Oryzias latipes: one gene and its partner. Each later gene encodes a partner of the first gene's protein in a complex. Links are inferred from orthologs where the notes say so. Each region holds a gene or a part of one and is shown in the gene's direction. Other genes may lie near its edges.

Region 1 (10,830 bases):
GTGCTGTTAAGTGATAAATGCGCGCTCCTCGCACGGATCCTGACTGTTAGAAATGAGGAAATTAAACCGTCAGAGCGTAGTTTGTGTGGACATCTAACGGGCACTTGTGTATCATATGCACATCTCATCCGTGCAACATTTGCACACGCTCAGTAAGGAGCCAGTCCTCGATCCTTGCTAACAGCTCAGCCCCGCAATTCTGGAACTCCCTCCCCTCTGATCTACAAAATATGGACCATCTCTCTGTTTTCCAAACATCTCAAAACTCACCTTTTTGCCTTGGATTCATAATATTTAAACTGCTGATTTAACTGTTAACTTATTTTGTGTTTTGTGGCGTTTTGTTGTTATATTTTTATGATTTTACATAATTTTGTACTGTGAGGCGACCTTGAGTGTCTAGAAAGGCACCATATAAATAAAATGTATTATTATTACTAAGGACTACAGTAGGGGACAGCAACCTTTATGACGAGAAAAGCCAATTTGAAATATCCTCTTCAACAACTGTGCCATCACCAAGTGGAAAAGTGACAGTACTGATATAGGTGGGCGGGGTCACAGTAACAGCGTTGTGTGAATGGAGCCTTTCCTTATGACGCCATGAAGGAAAATAGCTCATCGTGAGAAGAGATTTGGTCAAATCCTAAAAATACAAGTGTTCATCTTACACTACATTATTCCCACAAAACACTTACCACAAGCACGACATTGGTACGTTCCATTTTCATGACGTCTCTTGAGGGGACCCTATGAGTTTTAAGGGAACTACAACCCACACCTGTACCCCCCCCTTAAGAGGCAGCCACGCCTCTCTACGACCCCCCACGGGCCCAGACAACCCAAAGACCTGCAGCACCCGTACGGGTCATGTGACTTAGGCTTTGATCATCTTTTCATCTAGTTTCAAAGAATTCCTATTGGTCTTTAATCATGACGGTCATTTTTAGCCAAATAAAAAAATAAATCTGTTGTTTTCATTAGAAATTAGAGATGTGGGAGGGACCATCAGCGCAGAGTAACCCCGCCCGCACTTTCATCTGTTAACACACTCTCCTGGTACCTTGCAGCAATATCGGAGCTACCCAGCCGTACAGTTTAGAACCAATGCCAGCTCAAAATTGATTTTCTTAGTGTATGTCCTCCCTCATGAGAAAAATGCCTCAATAACATGTTAAAAACACTACAAACATGATTTTCACCGGAGTGCATCCCAGGTAGAAACTCAAATGTATTGATCTATTCAGATGTGTTAAAGAGCACAAGTTCCTGAAACAACTTGGAAATCATTCCCTTCATTCTGTCACGAGTGGACTATCTCCTGGTTTTAGGGTTTAATGTCTAAAAATATCAACTTTTGTGACTAGAGTCCATTCAGTGACCCTTTGCTCAAAAGCAGCAGAAAGTGCTGAAGGGTCCAAACCTCAGGGAATGCTGGGAAGCTGCTGGGAGGCTTTCTAATAACATGTCATGGTGTCACCAGAGGGGATCTGCCGAGAGACCCTCCGTTACACAAGATGACAATACAATATGTTTCATCTTCTGTTCTGTTAGCCGGGCGTATTAGTGCTGCGTATGTCAGTGGAGTTTCTCCAGGAAGAAAGGGCGGCTCACTCTGCGTTTCTGTTTTCCAGCCGCCAACGCCGCAGAGGTGATGGTGATCCACGATGACGACAGCAGCAGCGACGGCAGCAGCAGCAGCACCGTCGAGAGCGATGGAAGCATGCTGTCCATTTTTAGCAGCCTCAGCTCTGTGTTCACTGTGGACACAGAAAGCAGCGACCATTTAGAGTTTGAGATCTCAGATGACCTTGAAGATTAACTCTCAATCGGAAGGCAAAAAACGGACTCGCAAAGCCCTCCAACAAGAAAAGCCCTCGGGATCTTTAGTTTACACTAAGAACACTTTGGTCTCATCATGAGGAAAACTTCCTTATGTTTTCTTTTTGTAAAGTTATTATTTGTGTAGTGTACTTGTTTTTCAGTGAAAAGATTAAAGTTTCTTCCTGATTACTTTTACCATTATCTTTACAAGTTTTCAACTCTTTCATGTTGCTTTTTTCTACGTGTTCTGGGTTGATATTTAAAATCTTCGCTTCGATTAGTAGCTTAAAGTATTCAAACACACAGACTTTGTGATTTTTCTACTAGAAATGTTCCCAACTAACAGACACAGCATGGGCGTATGGAGTGGTTTTTGTGCCATTATTCCAACTGTAACTTTCACATTTTTTAGCGTAAAACTTAAAAAAAATTGTGCTAAAAAAAAAATATTTCGCACTTGAAACAGAAAAACGAACTAGAAACTCAAAAATATGGGGGGGGGACAATTCTCAATCCAGAGCACCGTCTGACATACGTGCCACAAAAGCCAGCCAATCACAGACATCACCCTTTCACGCCCATGTCTGTGATTGGCTGGCTTTTGTGGCACATTTGGAACATAGTTTAAAGTTTCAAGTGTATTTTTCTGTTTCAATTGCAAACTATTGTTTTGAGCACACAAAACTTTTAAATTTTATGATCAAAACAGTGGCTGTTGCGCTCACAATAATGGCATTATAATCCCTCCATATGGGCATGTTTTTAATTCCACTTAATGCTTTCATTTTAACTTTAAACATAGCTTAAAAACACAGTTTTTATATTTTAGTCCTTTAACAAGATCTTTAATTTATATTTATTTTATTATAATCAAGCTGGTTCCGTTTCTAGGCTTAAAAAGTAAATAAAGAAAAAAAACATATATATATATATATTAAAGTGGTGCATTTCTGAATTTAGAAAAGTAGATTTTATTGCCAGAATGGTGGGGGGGGGGACTCATATTTTAAACCCCACTATTTACGCTAAAGTAGATTTTTCAGAACAGTTCTTGATACGAAAATGGTTAATTTTTTATGTATTCTAGCAGAAAAAATAAATCAAATTTTAAAGTTACAAAATGATACACAAACGTGAGTCCACTCACTGATTTGAGCGCACAAAGACGGCCGTCACCGTGTGAGTTTGCCTCTTGATGTCATGCCCTGCCATTAAAGCTGCAGTGCTGGGGAGGCCGTTCCTGCCCCCCCTGATATCCCATGGAGGACAGTGATGGACTGCCTCAAGGCTACAGTTGGAGCCCTTCATTACTCCGTCTGACCCAGCATCAGTTCTGCATGCGCTCATGATGCCAATAACAGGCTCAACTGCTGTGCCTGAATATGAGAAATACACATGATGCATCCTGCATTCACCTCATTTCTCTCCGCTTTGAAAAGCAGTCTGTATTTAAAAAGGCATCCCTAGTTTTATTGTAAAAGAAACTTTGGGTGCTAAAGCCAAAAATCTTCCATTAGGTTTTAAGAAATTTTATATTTTTAAGAAAATGTTTATTTACGATAACTTTTAATGTTTGTGGATATTTTCATTCTTTTCTTAACCCTTAATTTCCCCTGATTTTTATCCGGATAATTTCTCGCAATTACAAATGTTATTCTCTTTTCTCGAACTGTTTGACTACAACAAAAACATTTTTTGCCAACTTTGTTTATGTGTATAAATAATTCTTATGAGAAAAAAAGCTGTATTTTCTATGAACAAACTCAGCATGTATGCATTTTTCCCCGCCTGAAATGGAGCTAAGCACCTGCTTCATGTTGTTGTTTACATGACAGATGGATTCACTCAAGTGATTTCTCATCCAAAAGGCACATGATCCATTTCCAAGGCCCATCTGGTAGTTTATTAGTCTGTGCTTTTCTCTGAGATCATCTCATTTTGGCCTAATGCAAGCCCTCCCTATTGTCAATATTACCAGTTTTTGCTTTTCAAATGACTAAGGATTCATTTATGTACATAATTTATTTATTTTAGTTTTATTACATCTATAAATAAAAACTGAATTCAGTAATTATTTGAAATTTAATCAATTTGTGCACGACTTGATTCATATGAACATAATGTGTTAATACATATTTTTTCCTATACATATGCAATTTATATTATTTAAAGTGCTTCTTACGATTAAAACAAAGTTAAAATCATTTTGTGTAACATTCAAAACTGAATAAATGTTGTAGCTGTTTTTTTATTTAAATGGCAACATTTGATATTTGATCATTTTTATATTTTATTATTATTATATATTTCATACCTGTTTTAGTCCAAACAACATGCCATCAGTTTGAAGAACACAAAATGATGCACAATGATTATGCAATTATTCTTTCTGAGCAAAAATACATTATATAAAATAATTCAAAACTTTCAGAATTATATTTAAACATTTTTAATCAACCAAGAGCCAATTCCGTGCAAAGTATAATTGACATATTTAAGTGAATCTATATTTATCAATTAAATCCATTAATGAATTAGAAAATAATTGGTGTATTTTAAAGGAAAAACAATAACGCTAAAAGCACTTGTAGCAGCAGTACTTGAAGTTACTGTTCTCGCGTCAGAGGTTTGAGAACCCTCAAGTATGGCGGAGTTGTTCTTTTTCTTTTAGTTTGTGGTGTTCATATTCGACTTTTAAATCCCATAACAACGAATGTTGTGAGTCTAGTTCGAATGATCTCAGTCTACTCTCATTATCTTCAGCTAATAGACTCGTTTAAGGTATGTTTTGTGTAAATTGCTTGATAATTTTAAAGTAGCGACGGGAATTATTTTTATGTTTGTAGTTAGTGACGCTGAAGCTAAGATTTCCTTGAAGCCTCAAACTACACACGAATGATTCGATTTCCATGGCAACGACTGGAAGTTTCCATAACAGGACACGGGGGGCTTTGTTTACGTTCGTAAACGTGAGTTTATTTGTCTTCTTTTTGATTAAATATCTTTTTAATCTTACTGAAATGCACTTCAGATAATTCTTTGCGGTTTTTGTCAATATACTTTTTGACATATTTACGCAAATTACTTCTTTGAACTGAAGTATTCAATAGACCATTTATTTAGCGTTAGCTAGCTACTTTCTCCAGTTTCCAAGATGTTTACTTCTTAAATGTTTATTGTTTGTTAACAGGATTTGTATGAGACAGTTTGAAAGCTACAAAAATAAAAGATAAACATGAGGAGGAGGATCATTGCTGAAGATCCAGACTGGTCTATCACCACAGTGCCCAGTTTATCCATTCTCTGCCTGCAAATCATTGTGAACAACTTTGAAAGTATGTATAATTTTCCTGCAGCTTCGGTTTTTGCAAAAAGTGGAGCCACTTGACTGCACAGTTCCTCTTTGTTACAGGAAACCCAATATTTGAGATGCTCACAGCTGCCCAGAAGGAGTTCCTGCAGGAGAGACTGTCCCTTTCCCTTCCTGTCCAAGTCACAGCCAGCGTGCTCCCTGAGGGGCCCTACTGGAGGCGCTGTTGCCAGCAGAAGTTGGCCTTCTGTGATGTCTCTGTTCACGGCCACAGCTGGAAACGAATGTTTTTGGAGAAGCACTTGGAGAAGATCATTGAACTTTTCATCCCAAATGTAACCGACCCGCAGACCGTTCTTGATGTCGTATCAGTTTGTGAAAAATACGTCAAGCGTCTGGACATCTCACAGCTCCTGGTTCCTGTCGTGGAGCCTCAGAAGAAGAGCAAGGAGAATGATCATGACTTTCATTGGAAGAGGTATGTGCCTCCCATGGACCACTTTGACTTTAACATCCTGCTTCAGAGGCTGACAAACCTGGAAGAGCTCCACCTGGTTTATAGAATCAAACAATGTGGCATGAACTTTGCATGGAATATGTTTGAGATGACATACAGAGACTGTGAGACCCTCGCCAAGGCTCTTCAGTCCTGTAAGACACTGAAGGTATCAGTTATTCTTTGTGTTTTACAAATTTTACTATCTTAAAGGTTTGTTGGAATGAACTTGTTGCGTAGTTGAATGATTTAATGTGTTAATCCTTTAAATCTGGTCATTATCCTTTTTATCCTTAACTTTAAAGCTTTTATTTTGATGGCTCTAAAAGTTTCCCTCTGTATTCCGTCGTCATTTATCCTCAATATTAAGCTTTTCAGGCTCCACCAAAGCCACATGGATGACAGAAAGTGTCAGCTGCTGGTGAAACACCTCATGGACCACCCTTCCCTGGAAGAACTCGACTTTTGTCACAACAAGATTGGAGACGTTGGAGCCAGGGCCATCAGCAAGCTGCTCACCAGGAATAAACTGCAGACTCTTAACTTGTGCAACAACCTTATTAGCTGCCAGGGGGCCAAAGCCATAGCTCTGGCCTTATCTAAGAACTGCACTCTTGAGTCCCTTAATCTGCTTCTGAATATGATAAAGGATGAAGGGGGTCAGGCCATTGCCGAAGCTTTGCTGAACAACACAACTCTACACAATCTGAACCTGGGAGGAAATTATCTGACTTCAGTCACTGCTGAGGCTGTGTCTAAAGTGCTCACAGAGAATACAACTCTGCAAAGCCTTAATCTGTCCTGCAACCAGCTCTGTGAGGTAAGGACATGTCCACGTTTGTTTCTTTTAACTGGAACATAAATGAATCGGTTAGTTCAAAAGGGGCCCAAGTCCAAGAGGTTTGTTTTTCCAGGAAATGATTTGAATTGCATATCTTAAAGGGGGGCTACACCAAATGATTAACATTTTACCCAGATTAAGCACCAGTTCATAGCTTCAAATGCTATAATATGAAGCACCTCACTTTTATAATTTCAGAAGACTAGCAAACTAAAGTCTCTGGACTTTGGCTCTTCTTGAATTAAACAGGGGCGCTGCCATATTGGATAACTAGTGCTGCCATCTATGGGATAAAACAAAACCCATGCAGGAGAGGCCCAAGTCCAGGAATTTTGCACTTAATGCATTTTAAATGTCAAGCATACATTACAACAGACTTGGGACTTTTTTGCACAAAATTCAGATAACTTTTTCTTTGAAGCCCGTAGAACATATAATATCTCTATTATGAAAAATTGTGGACTTGGACCCCTTTTGAACTAAACGATTCAATTTGTTCATCCCAAAACTCTGCTGCTCCCTTTGTTGACACAGTCAGGGTTGCTGCAAGGATTCTCAATTATTTATCGATGTCTGCAGAACACAGGCAGTAATGGAAAGAGTAGGAAGTGGGTTTTTTTCCCCCCATAAAAATAGATTTACAACTATCCCCTGCAGCTCTGCTGCCACAGTTCGTGGTATCTGTGACTGAAGTGATCTGGTGGATCAAAAATCATTCACACAGCAGAAATGAAACCATCAATACTTCTGACCTCGGTCCACTCCAGCTTAAAGAAAAACAAGTTCTGTTGACGAGTTTTAAAACTTACTAAGCTGAAAAAATGACCAAAAGGTGAATTTTAGTCTTCTTATGTTTTATATTTTTGTATTCTAACCCCATGTCTGCAGGTTGGAGGTGAGGCTTTGGTGGCTGCGTTGTCACAGAACTCCACTATAAAAGAATGTGACGTCCACCTGACCCAAGTTGATGATCAGAGATCTTTCCTCATCAACAAGCTGCTTTGGGCCAACCAGATGTCACAGTTAAAAACACAACGAAAGGGGGACGCCCCCAAAAAAACCTTTGCTCTTAACTGAAGTTTTTGAACACCAAGATCTAAGGTTAGACATGACTTTGTTTTCTTTATTCCCACCCATTCCTCTTCAAGGCCCTCTTTTGATTTATTCCTAATAAACAAAAAAAACTGCTTCACAATCTAACAGTGTTTTGCTGTTAAAAGATAACCACAAATTCATCTTATGAACATATTTTTTAAATTCTAAGTCAGCAGTTTTCTAATAATGAAAAAATATAAGCATATAAGATATAAGCTAATTCTAGTGCTGATTCAACTCTAGAATAATAAACAATCATCTGACACTCTATGAAATTTTATCATTTCCATATTTTAATAAATATTCTGATGCATATCTGTGGATAAAATAAGCCTGTTGGAGTTCTTAACTTTCCTTTGGGAGCTTTCCTCTTGAGAGAGGATCAAGCTGTTGATGATTTATGGCTGGTATTGGAAACAAAGAAAACATTTTAATACTCTGTCTGAGACTCATGACCTCCCTACTGTCACATCCCAGTGTTTTGTAAGCATCATCAAACTTTAATCTTTATAAATGCTAAAAAAAAAGAGATGTTACTGTTGAGAAAAATGAACAAATACATCGATTTGCAAACCTTTGGCTTCAAATAAGAACATTTTTCTCTTTTTTTTACATGGAATCAGACATTTTAGTGAGCATTTCTGTTTATTGAGTGCTTTTAATCTGAAGATATTTGGTAATGAGTCCTCATAAAGGCAGCATTGTGATGGAACTGGAACGCATACAGACATTTGATCACATTTAGTATCAGTCATTTTTGTCATGTCTTTGCAGATTTTGCTCTCAACCCTTAATGTTTCTCAGAAAAAGCTGTTGCAGATCATAACAGGTAAAAAAAAAAACTGTCTATATCTATTTCTACTTCAAAAAAAAACATTTTGACAGTAAAATAAACCATTAAAAACCTTGAAATGTGTTCTGAAGAAGGCCAACAAGACATCTTTAAGCTTTTCATTTGAGATCTTCAACATGTTGCCTGCTTGTTTGTGTGTGACAGAAGAAAAGACATTCATCAAAATTCACCCAAAACCTTCAATTATTTACAGCACTAAACTTTTGTGGCCTCACAAACACGAGCCAATAGATCGAAAGAAATGAGCACAAATATCTATGATGAACTAATCTATTTGACTAAATAGGAAGTCATGACAAAATCATTTACTCTGACAGTCAACTACAGAGAAAACCTCCCATTTGCACATCCGCTTCTGAAAAAGACTCAACAGAAAGTGACTAAAAGAAAAAGTTTTAAAGGTTTTGTTTTTAGTGTCCTCCGTCCCGTCCGGACCCTCTAGAGTCTTCGGTTTCTGAGCAGTCCACGCCCCCCCCCCATAATCCACCACCTGCCATCTCAAAAAATAAAAAACGTAATTTTTCTTTAACCTTCAATTAAATATTACTGCTGTTTCTACACTGAAAACAATTTGATTGACTTTCTGGTTTTGATCTTCCTATAATTAATTATAATTTACATGTTTTGTACATCCAGCACCATAAACTTCATGAAATGATTTCTAGCTGACAAATATCAGGAAACACAACATTTTCCCTTTATAAATAAATGAAATACTAAAACCTAATAAATTCTAAAACGTTTTAGGCCAGTGTAATTACAAAACAGTTGCTATTCACCGCAAAAACACAGAAAAGAAACACTTTTATTAGGAAACAAATGAGACCAGAGAATATTTTATCCCTTACAATTATGAGTAATTGGCTTTAACTTACTTTTTAAGAGATTTTGTGATTTTTCCATGCATCTTATTTTGGCAGGAAACAAACTCTTGTTTCAAAAAAGATCTGTTTCATTCAATCTTGTACTTAGAAACCCTCCATTCTAGTGTAAGAAATGAAATGTTGCAGTCAGATTGTGTCCTGAGTTTGGGGCTTGCATAGGAGCTGACTGATAATTTAATTATTTTAAGAAATCCATTTTATAATCATATAATCGGCCATTTGATGAGACATAATACAGCGGTACAAGCGTAGCTTAGTTCAAACCTGACACTAACCTGGAATGTGGAAGTATGGCTTATTGTGTTCTCAAAAGTTCATATACAGTATTTTGAATTCACAGACAAAATGATTGAGCACTACTTTTAATACCAAAAACAGCAAAATGCATCACAAATTAGGATATCTAAATACTGAAAATCTGATCACAACAGATGAGTGATTGAAAAATTAGATAAACTAAAACATGATCAAATAAGATTTACTTTACCCCTCAAAAAACAAACTTACGTTAACCTAATTTTATTAGTTTCAACTACAATTTGAATCTTCAATTACAGGACGAGACTGCATTTGCTCAAATGACAGGAAGTCCCTTATTTAGTTCCAGTCATGTTATCAAATGTGACACTATAAGCAGTGAGTCCAGGCCTCCACCCATTTCTGAGTGGCTTTGATGTGCAGCAGCTGCACAGAACCGACTGCACAAGATCTGAGATACATTCTGAGGAAAATCAGATCCGACCAGCTTCGAGCTCACAGGAGAATCATCTGAACCAAAATGTATATCTTTATTTTCAAAAGCAGATGCAACCCCAAAGACATCAAACAGAATCCTTTTTTTTTTTTACTAGTTCTGCTTGTTAAGAAGAGAAGGCACTTAAAGAAAGAGGTAGACTAAATCAAAATATTGAAGACAATTTGAAAAAGATCTAATCAGCTAAATGACATGATGTTTTTTTCAGCTTGTAGAGGTGAGTTTATAATTGTGTTTAAGTTCTGGTGTCCTTTAGCCCTCTCGTGCTAAATTATTCACACTCCCCTGTGCTATATTTAACAAGGAAGGCAGTAAAATCTCTGTGCAAACAGACAGACTGAATATTTTATCAACACATGACATTTACAGCACTTTTTTTTACTTAAGCCAGTTTCAACAAGACTTTATTCGATAAATTCAATTTTGAATCGTGTTTATTTTGCTTTTTTTAATGAGTTTCGTGACTTGTCATGTCCACACGTTTAACAGTAACTAATTTAATTATTTGCAGCTGTTTTTTGTTGTTCTTCGGGGAGTTGGCTGCTTCTCAGATTGCTGCTGAGTCAAGCTGACACCGAACTGTAAAAACTGAAGGCTCACTGAGTGACTCGTCCCGTTTTCTTGGTCTGTCCTACAGTAAAAAGATGATTAAAGACCCTCTCCTATGAAAATCAGGTTTTTATCATGTTGTTTTTACTTTTTGTAATGATGGACAAGATATATAAAGAAAATTAATCTTAACACAGCATTTCTGAGTTTCCCCTTATTCAAAT
Region 2 (10,564 bases), on another chromosome or scaffold:
TTTAAAGTGACAATTACAGTTGCATAGAAAACATATGTTTGCTTGTTATTCTAGCATAAATCCTTTTGAGTTTTGTAAGCTTATTAAAACCCACATAACTCCATTAATGAAGGATCAAACTGAAAAAGAAATTTGACACATGTAAAAAAATACACTTGATTTATGTTTTTGTGACCATTAAATTTTAGATAGTGATAAAAATTGAATTGTAAAAGTTTTATAATTTTTTGTATATCATTTCTTACTTTTGACACCAGCACAAACAAGTTCCATTCAAAATAAAATACATCCTTTATTAAATAAGATCCTTCTGCGGCAGCAGATTTATTTGAATAAAAAATGTAAGAAAGTCAATCAAACATGAACTTTTCTATCATTATGACTTTGGTGAACTTTCATCCTTTCTCTCCTTTTACTATTAAATATAAACATCACAACATCCAATTTTAAAAAGCCTATGTGAGCTTTAAAATGATTCTAATAACAAACGCCTCTCACGAAACCTTTTCCCATCATTATTTTAAAAATCTAAAAATAAATGAAATAAACTATATTAACTAAAACAAATCAATCACAACTACAAAAAAATATTTTTATTCAAATCGTTAGCATTTTTCTTCAAAGCCAAAGAGCCACAATGGAGGGATAAAGGAGCCTTATGTGGGTACGGAACCTCAGGTTGTGGACCCCTGGATTAGTTGGTGTTTTAGAGCTGTCATTGTATTTGGGTGTAGTTTCCTTTCTGACCACATATTTGCATCCCTTTGGGTGGTTTAGATAGTGTCTACGGTGGATTTCTTACTCCAGACTCAGGATTTGAACCATGATGGGCTGCTGGACCCCTCTGAGTTGCTGTCTCCACTCACTCACACACAGGTACTTCCAGATCAACACACATTTTGTTTTGGTTTTTAAAATGATACACCATTTTGTTTGTTTTGGCAATGACTTTATATGACACTTGCTACCTCAAAGGGCTCACAGATCAACCAGATACCTCAAACGAAGCAGGAGGTGGTTGTGGAGAACAGGCAATCAGCCATCATCACAGAGGAGCAAAATGCAGGAGCAGTGGACAACAAACAGCAAGAGGATCCTCGGGAAGACTTTCACCCTCAAGAGGAGGAAATACAAAATCAGGAAACACAGGCGGACAAAGACATACAACAAATAGATAAATATAATCAACAACAAATTGAGGACGCCCCTGTAGAAGAACAGGAAGGAGTCCCTGTACACCAGGGACAACCAGAAATATGAAACTCTATGAAAATGTTCTTCTTGGGAAGATTTCCTCCTCCCTTATCCCAAAAAAAGGGCTTTATTGGTTCTGAGGACTCACTGTCCACTCTAAGCTGTCAAACGTGTGCCAGACAATGAAAAGTCATCTTTTGCTTTCCATGCATGATGTTGTTCCTATAACTTTTAATTTCTAAAAGTTAAAACACCCCACAGGAGCATTGAAATCTATCATTATCATTATTGCACATTTTCTGGTAAGATTTGATGCTTTATTTATTCATCATTTGTCTCACTAGTAAATCTCTGGTCATACTTTTCATACACGGTGTTTTCACTGTGCAGTACACAACAGTAGTTTCCTAATCATTACTACATTTTGATGATAACTTGTCTCGGTAATATCCAGCATAAATGCAGCCAGAATGCACTGTAGTCTCTGCATGCCTTCAAGCATCTGTAAGGAATCTACTCAGGTGATATTTATACTGATGTGCTTTTCCTGATTCAATGTGTGGCACAAAAATTCATGTTTCCCTTGATAAAATGATAATAGACTTCAAAGAATAAATAAAAAAATGAAATCAGATTGCCCCAATAATATATTCATTCATTCATTCATTCATTCATTCATTCATTCATTCATTCATTCATCTTCTAATCCATTTGTTCCCTTTTGGGGTAACAGGGCTGCCTGAGCCTATCCCGACTGTAATAATACAATTTTACTAAATATCCAGTGGGGCAAAAAAGTATTTATTCAGCCACCAATAGTGCAAGTTCTCCCACTTAAAAAGATAAGAGAGGCCTGTAATTTTCTTCATAGATATACCTAAACTATGAGAGACAAAATAAAATAAAAAATTCTGAAAAATCCCAGTCTGATTTTCAAAGAACTTATTTGTAAATTATGGTGTATAGTAAGTATTTGGTCAACAACCCAAGTTCAACTCAATACTTTGTTATACATATACCTTTGTTGGCAGTGACAGCAGGCAAATGTTTTCTGTAGGTCTTCACAAGGTTTTCACAAACCGTTGCTGGTATTTTGGAATGTTCCTCCATGCAGATCTCCTCTAGAGCCGGGATGTTTTGGGGCTGTCGCTGGGCAAAACAGACTTTCAACTCCCTCCAAAGAATTTCTATGAGGTTGAGATCTGGAGACTGGCAAGGCCACTCCAGGACCTTGAAATGCTTCTTAAAAAGTCATTCTTTTGTTACCCAGGCAGTATGTTTGGAGTCGTTGTCATCCTGAAAGACCCAGCCATGTTTCATCTTCATTGCCTTTGTTTATGGAAGGAGGTTTTCACTCAAAATCTGACAATGCATGGCCTCATTAAAATTTTCCTTTACACGGATCAGCAGTACCTTTGCTGAGAAACAGCCCCAAATCATGAGGTTTCCACCCCCATGCTTTACAGCAGGTACGGTGTTCTTTGGATGCAACTCAGTATTCTTTCTCCTCCAAACACGACGAGTATCGATCTTACCAAAAAGTTTTATTTATTTCATCTGACCATAGGACATTCTCCCAGTCCTCTTCTGAATAATCTTATCATCTTAATTCTCTCTAGCAAACATGTACTGTCTTTAGCAAGGGGATATGTCTGGGACTGCAGGATTTGAGTCCCTGGCGGCGTAGTGTGTTACAGATGTAGTCTTTGTTACTTTAGTCCCAGCTCTCTGCACGTCATTCACTAGGTCTAATTGTGTGGTTGTGTGGTTGTGTATTTTTGCTCATTGTGATCATTCCGACCCCACGGGGGGAGAACATCTTCCAGGGAGCCCCAGAGGGAGGTAGATTATCAGTGGTCTTGTATGTCTTCCATTTCCTAATAATTGCTCCCACAGTTGATTTCTTCACAGCAAGCTGCTTACCTTTAGCGGATTCAGTCTTCCCAGCCTGGTGCAGGTCAACATTTTTGTTTCTGGTGTCCTTAGACAGCTTAAGGTTGTGTACTGGTGTATTTTCTATAGACAAGCATACATTTTCAGACAACCATCAAACAGGTGCCAGTAATTAAGGTGACGAGTGGCAGACAGAGGATCCTCTTACAGAAGAAGTTCCAGGTCTATGAGAGCCAGAAATCTTGCCTGTTTGTAGGTGACCAAATTCTTATTTTCCACCATAATTTGAGAAAAAAGTTCTTTAAAAGTCAGACGCTGTGATTTCCTGGAATTGTTTTCTTATTATGTCTCTCATAGTTGAGGTATAATGACAAGTACAGGCCTTTCTCATCTTTTTAAGTAGTAAAACTTTGGCACCATTGGTGACTGACTAAATACTTTTTTGCCCCACTGTAAGCTTTTTCAGATAAAGTTTTAGACTTGATGAGTTGGAAAAATTATTTATCCAATATGCAAACAGATATCATTATAGGTCATTAAGTGTCTCAGAATTAATTAGGTTATTAAGGAAACAGTACATTTTTTTTGTTGGTAAAAGAATATTAAGTAGGGTGTCACTCGGTTGCTAAGCAACACGACAACACCAGGCAGACATGGCGGAAGCCGGTGAAACAGCAGGTCAGTCAGAGTTTCTTTACTGGTTTAAAATTTGTTTAGTTTTTGTTATTACAATTCATTTATTTTTTTCAATATATAAATTAGATGAATACAGTCTATTTGTGCTTTGGTTATCAGAAATCCAGAGGAAAATCCGCGCAGCCTTTCACGTGTTTGACCACAAAGCTGACAACACCGTGGACGTCCGGTGAGCTTTAAAGATCCCAAACTTATTTCATTAACTCAAACAAGTCAAGAGTAACTCAGCGCCCACTCCGAAAATGTTGTTTTGCAGTGAGGTCAGCACCATCATCTATTCGCTGGGATGTTTCCCCACCAAAGCAGACATCCATCGCTTCGTGGATGAGGTCAGTAAGTTCCGCCCTCCTCGCAGGCGGGCAAAATAGTGTGCCATTTGCTTCTTCTAGACCTTCCTACAAGTACAACAAACTTTTACTTTGAAATTTCTTTTCTTTTTTTTTTTTTTGCGCATCTCTCCGTGCGCTTTTTTTTCTCTCCATCTGTTTCTGTCCATATCTGGACAGCTGGAGCCTTCACCCCCTTCTTGTACCTCCTCATTCAGGAGCGTTTGGCCATCATTGGAGCAGCAAATATAGGATGATTAGGTGTCGCGTGGTCTGACTGTAACGTCGTATCGCTGATTTTACAGAAAATATATGTTGACCCGCAGAATCAACTTAAGAGCTAATTTTTTTTTGATTCAGCCGCTTTTGTATCAATTCTTTATTCTCTGTTGCATTGTTTTAACCTAAAAACTTTAGTGCGTGCCGAATCCTTGTTTTACGCGCTTTGCGCATGTTGATCATTGCGCAGCAGCAGTCCAAGAGAATCACAAAAATAAATAAAAATAAGCATTGATGAAAAGCACGGACCGTCTATTTGCGCAACTTCTCACTCTTTTAGTCAGTCAGGCCTTGATTTCAGGCTTATTTGCTGTATTGCCACGGTTGGTACAATGACTTCAGTAGTGTAATTTATTTTATATAAAAAAGATGTAAAAACGAAAGATAAAACATTTAAATGACTGTTGAAAGGGCCTCACACACTTATGTGCCCAGGGCCCCCCCTGCAGTTTAATTTTGCCTCATATAGATTGTTGTAATATATTTTAAAGCCACATTTTGCCACACCTTCAAAATAGTCAGCATATAAATAGCATTCAATTCTTTAACAATAGTTAGAACTGAAGAATCTACTGGCAGAAATGTCTTCCGGATAAACCTTAAAAGTCCAGTTACCCTGAAGAACTGTGTCATCCTGCCATAACATTTATGATTGAAAAATCTTCACAGATGTAAAACACCACATTCAGAACATTTAAAAAATACATATAAATTTGTTATAATTACATTTGATTAACTCTGATTAACTCTCTTGTTTTGTAACATCTTTCAGAACTTTTGTCACAAAATTCTGTTCACACAGGTGGAGGAGGACAATATGGGATATGTTCACTTGGACAAGTTCCTACCAGTCATGACCAAAGTAATAATGGAGAACAAGTAAGAAAGTTCTGCTTTCTACATTATTTTCCAGTCACATTTTAAATTCATTCAACTTTTTTTGTCTGCTTCAGAAAAGAAAAAACAGTGGAAAAACACACTCATGTTAGCCTTTCTGTACAGCTGACACAATTTTTTTATGATGATAAATAAAACTGTCATTTATCACCTAGCATGCTGCAGATAATGTACTAGAGAGACCCAATGGCAAGGCGGTTCAGACTTTACTAAAAACACTGTAAACAAAAAAATATGTGATCTCCTTCAATACGAGATTTGGAAACATCTTCTTGTGCTGTTGGGTTGAATAAATTCAACATTTGAACCCACTTTTCATTGTATGTGGTGTTGTATTGCATGAGCAACTTGGAGTTTGACACCTTTATCTGAGAGCAACTGATCCCCTCATTATCACTCCTCAGCATTCAGCATTGCATGGTCAATGACTCTGCCTCAAAAAGATCTTCATTACACTATAGTTGCCATGCCATTACATTCTGAGACTAACTGGGACCTCCTGTTTACTTTGGAAAATTGTGCAAAGCTCTATTTGTAAACGGGAAAAATAATCTTTATTTTTAATTCTGTTTGTTAGGTTTCCTCCCATTCCTGAAGAGCATTTGCGTCAGGCGTTTGAGGTGAGAGGACACCCAGTTTCACTGTATCGCCAAGACCCATAGTTCACGATCTCCGTCCACTAAGGGGAATGACAGTCTCACGTCTTTGTCTGATGACTGCACATAACTTTCTTCAGCTTTACCTGCAGCCACAGTAAAGGAAAGAAAATTAATGGTAAAACTTCCTTAAGGCCCTGGTAAAGTTTGCATGTTCCCCTGGTGATTGCTTTGTTTCCCTGGGCACTCCAGCTTCCTCCCAAAGTCCAAAAACATGCTTCACAGGATAATTGAAGATTCAATTATCCTGTGTCAAAGCTGGGTAGGCTCCCGTGATCCCAACTGGGAATAGCAGGATTAGAAGATGGATGGAAAGTATGGTTGAGTTTTTACTTGAGATCTCTGTTGGTAGATTGTATCCTACCTCACGTCACCACAGACTATAAAACCTCAAAGGATTCCTGAGGCAGCAACGATCACATTTTATTTGACCTGCATTTTAAAAGAGTTCCAGCATCGTTTTCATGTCTAATCATCCATAATTGTTACTGTGTATTTCCTGAAATAATGTAAGTCACGATTCACTTGGTTAACTCTTCAAGTTTCCATTAAAGCTAATTTTCATTAACCTACCTATTACATAAATGTTTTAAACTGAAGAAATGTGAAACTTTAATCTTCAAATGACATTTGTCTTCTTCCCCAAGAGGACACGCTGTAAACCTTTTCTTCTTTAGAACATGTTTTTTTCAGTTCTCGCGCATTTTCAGGGATGCAAGGCAAAGTGATTCCGTGGTTCCTGTGACTGACGTGTTTCTTGATTTTTCTATTTAATCGAGAATACAAACTTTTGTTAAAATTGATATACTGTATTATAAACCTCAAGGAGATAATTTAACATTGAGCATAATGTTACCTTATTACCTTGCTTCAATGTTCATTAAACCAGAAATGCATTATGATTCCAGGTTTTAGACAAAGACAGGAGGGGATACATGGAACCACAAGAGCTCGCAAAATACATGAAAAGTGAAGGTAAAGCAGAAGCTTTGAAGTAGTTTGTGAGCTGGAAAACAACAAATTAATGGATCAATGTTTAATATTTTCATTCAATGCTTGTGTTCAACAGGTGAGGCCTTCAGTCAGGAAGAGACCAATGAAATGCTGACAGCACTGGTTGATGAAAAAAAGAACCTTATCTGCTACAAGGAGTTAATCAATCAGCTGACCATTGACCCCGACACGTAGGCAGTCATTCCTCATTTCTCAGCATATCTGCTGAAAAACAGTGTGTTTGGGCCAAAATACAAATAAATATTAATTTTTGTTTTTTCTGTATTGCTGTCAAACTTCAGAAATTATTCAAAATGTTTATTTTTAACAGATCTTGGAAGTTTAAATTGATTTGAAAGGTTAAAAAGAGGGCCATGATGAATTAACAAGTTCCAAAAATAGAGAAGCAAACGTTTAAAGAGATGTAGAAATAATGATAGGGATTAAATTTGCAACGAAGATGGAAACTCTGTGGCTTGTGTGCAACAGAACGTGAAGCTTAGGTTGAAAGAAAAAAAAACTAAACTTTGTAATCAAAATGCAAAGATTGGTGTTAAAATGATGACATTTTCTTCAATAACAGAGTTCTAGCAGAATGGAACAAAAAACAAAAAAAAAGCAGTGACTTTTGCTGAGCATAGCACTTTATCTGAGGTGATTTTCATGATTAACATGATTCCAACATTTACAAGACCGTCAGAAAACAGGGGTTATTTGATGTACAGGAAAGTCTGAGAAGTCTAGTAACAAATTCCAGCAAATCCCTCTATGTTCATGATTTTAGTGTACAGTACAATTTAATGTCAAAATAAACACAAATCTAATAACCGTTTAAGACCAGAGAGCTCAAGAGATAAAACATACGTCTACTGGGACAGGTTTTATCGTTTGGGTTTCAAACAGAAACAAACAGAATAAGGCTCAAATAGCTTGCAGATGCAGTCTTTATGAGGGCACAATTATTTAAGGAAAAAATGGTCAACTTGACTATTGTAGTTCTGGAAACAGGCCCAACTGGATTGATGATGGAATGTTTATTTGTATAAAGAGGGGGAGGCACAGTTGAAATGTGCTAAAGTCAGCATTTAAATACAGATTTGAAACAAAATCAATCAAAAAAGAATCACAGTTGTAAAAAAAAAAAAAGTCAGATAAGCACAACAGTTCTGTTGCAAAGGAGATTCAATTGTAAATAAGACGACTCAAGTGTGGCCTGGTGGAACATGGAAATATGGAGATCCAGGCGGATCTCCATGTTTCACAAAGATTCAAGAGTCAAATGATGACTTCAAGTAAAAATGACAGAAAAGCAGCCCGTTTTCCAGCAAATCCAACTAAATGTTCATTTCAGGTGAAAAACTGACAAAAGGGAAAGAAGTCAGAGTGAGAGAGCAGCTGACGGAAAATTGAATAAACAATGACATCAGAATCAGCTCCCTGCAGTGGTCTCTCTGCATTATTGCACACAACTTCAACGCAGAGATTTACACCCAACACTAACACGCCCACAATATTATGCACACGCTTCACATATAGCAGGAAAAACAGGAAATTTCCACCATGTTCCTCCTTTCTTTCAGAGAAAGGGCTCAAGATCAGGAAAGAGGATGATCTTTAGGTCAAAGCGTTCTGATCAGTTGAAGCTTAGTGGGATTCAAAAAAGAACAAGCTCATAGATAAATGAGGTCAAAGGGTTGTTCAAAACCTGATATGCATGACGCCAAGAAACACTGGATTCAGTCATTTCTGAGGCCTTGTTGCATAGCTGCAGCCCACGTTTAAAGAGTGGGAGGATAATTGATCTCAAAGGAGAAGTTGTGCAAAAATTACTAAAAAAGAAAACCACACACACACACAAAAAGAACCACACAGGGCACATGTTGGCCCAATAAAACAACCTATAACTTGTGCCCAATGTTACCCCAAACCTCAGCCCTCCTTTATATCATCCTGACCAAAGTTTACATTTTTAAGGTGTCAGAGAAATATAAAAAGATAAGCTATGAAAATCAAAAAGTCTAAAGGTGGAAAGCAGTGACCCGGCAAACATGCTGGATCAATTTAATCGTTTTACATTTTCATATCATTGATTTTTTAATTTAGGTTTTTAGCTGAGCAGCAAATGTGTATTTTCCATTGACTGTCCTCCATCCTACATACATTTGAGACTGAAAAGATGGTGGCTTCACTCCATCACCAATTACTGCTAACCATCAATGGACTTTTCTCACCTGTAAGAAGTTTCTATTATTGACAGGTTGGACCATCAGCTGCAGAAGTAACAGATTCATCAGTACCCAAAGTCGGAAGTGAGCCACACTTTGATCAAGTTACCAGGGTCACATGGTTTGCCAACATTGATTAAACAGAAAAAACCCTATTTCCTTTTTTAAATCTGTAAGACCAGGCCAGCAGCAGAGACGTTGTCTCCTCCACCTGCAGTCTGGTAAACCTCGGTACACACCAGCACTGGGGCCACACAAATCTCATAGTCGTCCTCATCCCAACAGCTTACGGGCCTGTTCTCCTGCAAAGGGATGCGCTGGCTTCCTTCTCGTTGGCTGACGGAGAACGAGTCGTCCATGATGAGCCTCGCCTTGCTGGGGTCGATGTCATTGGAGCCGCAGACGTGGCGGTTAGCTGTGAGCGAGGCCTTTGCCGTGGCTGACATGGTGTTTTTCCATTTGGAGTCCCGTGTCACGATCATGGCCTGGAAGGCCAGCGTGTGCACGTGGAGGCGGGTCAACGGCTTACCCCTCCTTTTAGCACCCTTTGCGTCACTTTCCGTACTGGCGTCTTTGTAGCGTTGGTTGAGAATTCGATACACCTCCCTCATCTGGTCGAGGACCGTGGCGACACGAGGGTTTGGATCCGACAGCACTGTGATGTTGGAGCCTTTGAGGAGGCTGAGGAGATTTGGAAGTTCCTGTTCATTCATTCCTAAGGAGTCTGCCTGGAAAAGCACAGAGAAGACAAACTGTCAAACTGGAATTATTCAAAGATACATTCTAAACTACTGAATTGACTGTTTTTAAAAGAGAACCAAAACAATAAAATCAGAATTTAATGCACATCACACAGGAGGGACATGTTTGGAGCATCACTTTGCAGTCAGGAATGGCCATTTTGTTTCATATTTTAAAATGAAATTATATTTATACAAGTTAACTTCATGAGGTGACACTTTTATTTTGGCATTTGAAAATCACAGATCCAACGGAGGCAGTCGGACGCATTCCAAAAGACGACATCTGTTTCCAGAAACAGGACTAAGCAGGCAGGAAGACGTCTGGTCCGTTTAATCAGAGAATCCAACTCATTTTTGAAAAAAATAAATAAAACTGAAGCACCAAGTGGAGAGTCTGTATGAGATCTGCTAGAAAAGTCCTGAGGAATGCAGAGCTCTCAGACTGAAACAAGCCCAAAGGAACTTGAAGCTCCACTGAAGACTGATTAAAATGATTAATTATGACTTCATTGTTTAAAGGAAGAAGAAACATTTTTACACATTTAAAGGTTTGGCAAGCACGACTGCTCATAAAAAATGTGTTTAAAGGACCAAACAGGAAGTGGTTAATATTCAAATATAGGGAAATCTCACCTTTTTTTAATGCGACTGTTTGCAAATGT

Evidence for each region.
Region 2: tcte1 (region 1) and efcab2 share a complex: the UniProt entries of both Homo sapiens proteins name them as parts of the nexin-dynein regulatory complex. The link is inferred for Oryzias latipes from reciprocal best matches to the Homo sapiens genes DRC5 and DRC8.

What each region holds. Positions count from the first base shown.
Region 1 is NC_019882.2:5,918,060-5,928,889, reverse strand, and holds tcte1 (T-complex-associated testis-expressed protein 1), read left to right. Parts: upstream 1-4,705; 5' UTR 4,706-4,793; intron 4,794-4,943; exon of another isoform or gene 4,944-5,014; 5' UTR 5,015-5,059; coding exon 5,060-5,159; intron 5,160-5,236; coding exon 5,237-5,799; intron 5,800-6,000; coding exon 6,001-6,450; intron 6,451-7,359; coding exon 7,360-7,548; 3' UTR 7,549-7,572; exon of another isoform or gene 7,573-7,671; intron 7,672-8,195; exon of another isoform or gene 8,196-8,340; 3' UTR 8,341-8,445; downstream 8,446-10,830. Other genes in the region: E3 ubiquitin-protein ligase RNF8, read left to right, coding at 1,635-1,822. UniProt on the Homo sapiens protein: Component of the nexin-dynein regulatory complex (N-DRC) a key regulator of ciliary/flagellar motility which maintains the alignment and integrity of the distal axoneme and regulates microtubule sliding in motile axonemes.
Region 2 is NC_019861.2:24,639,404-24,649,967, forward strand, and holds efcab2 (EF-hand calcium-binding domain-containing protein 2), read left to right. Parts: upstream 1-3,428; 5' UTR 3,429-3,740; coding exon 3,741-3,765; intron 3,766-3,882; coding exon 3,883-3,952; intron 3,953-4,039; coding exon 4,040-4,112; intron 4,113-5,190; coding exon 5,191-5,267; intron 5,268-5,862; coding exon 5,863-5,905; intron 5,906-6,849; coding exon 6,850-6,916; intron 6,917-7,010; coding exon 7,011-7,129; 3' UTR 7,130-7,219; downstream 7,220-10,564. Other genes in the region: cgref1 (cell growth regulator with EF hand domain protein 1), read left to right, coding at 778-876, 976-1,260; ADP-dependent glucokinase, read right to left, coding at 9,324-9,887. UniProt on the Homo sapiens protein: Component of the nexin-dynein regulatory complex (N-DRC), a key regulator of ciliary/flagellar motility which maintains the alignment and integrity of the distal axoneme and regulates microtubule sliding in motile axonemes.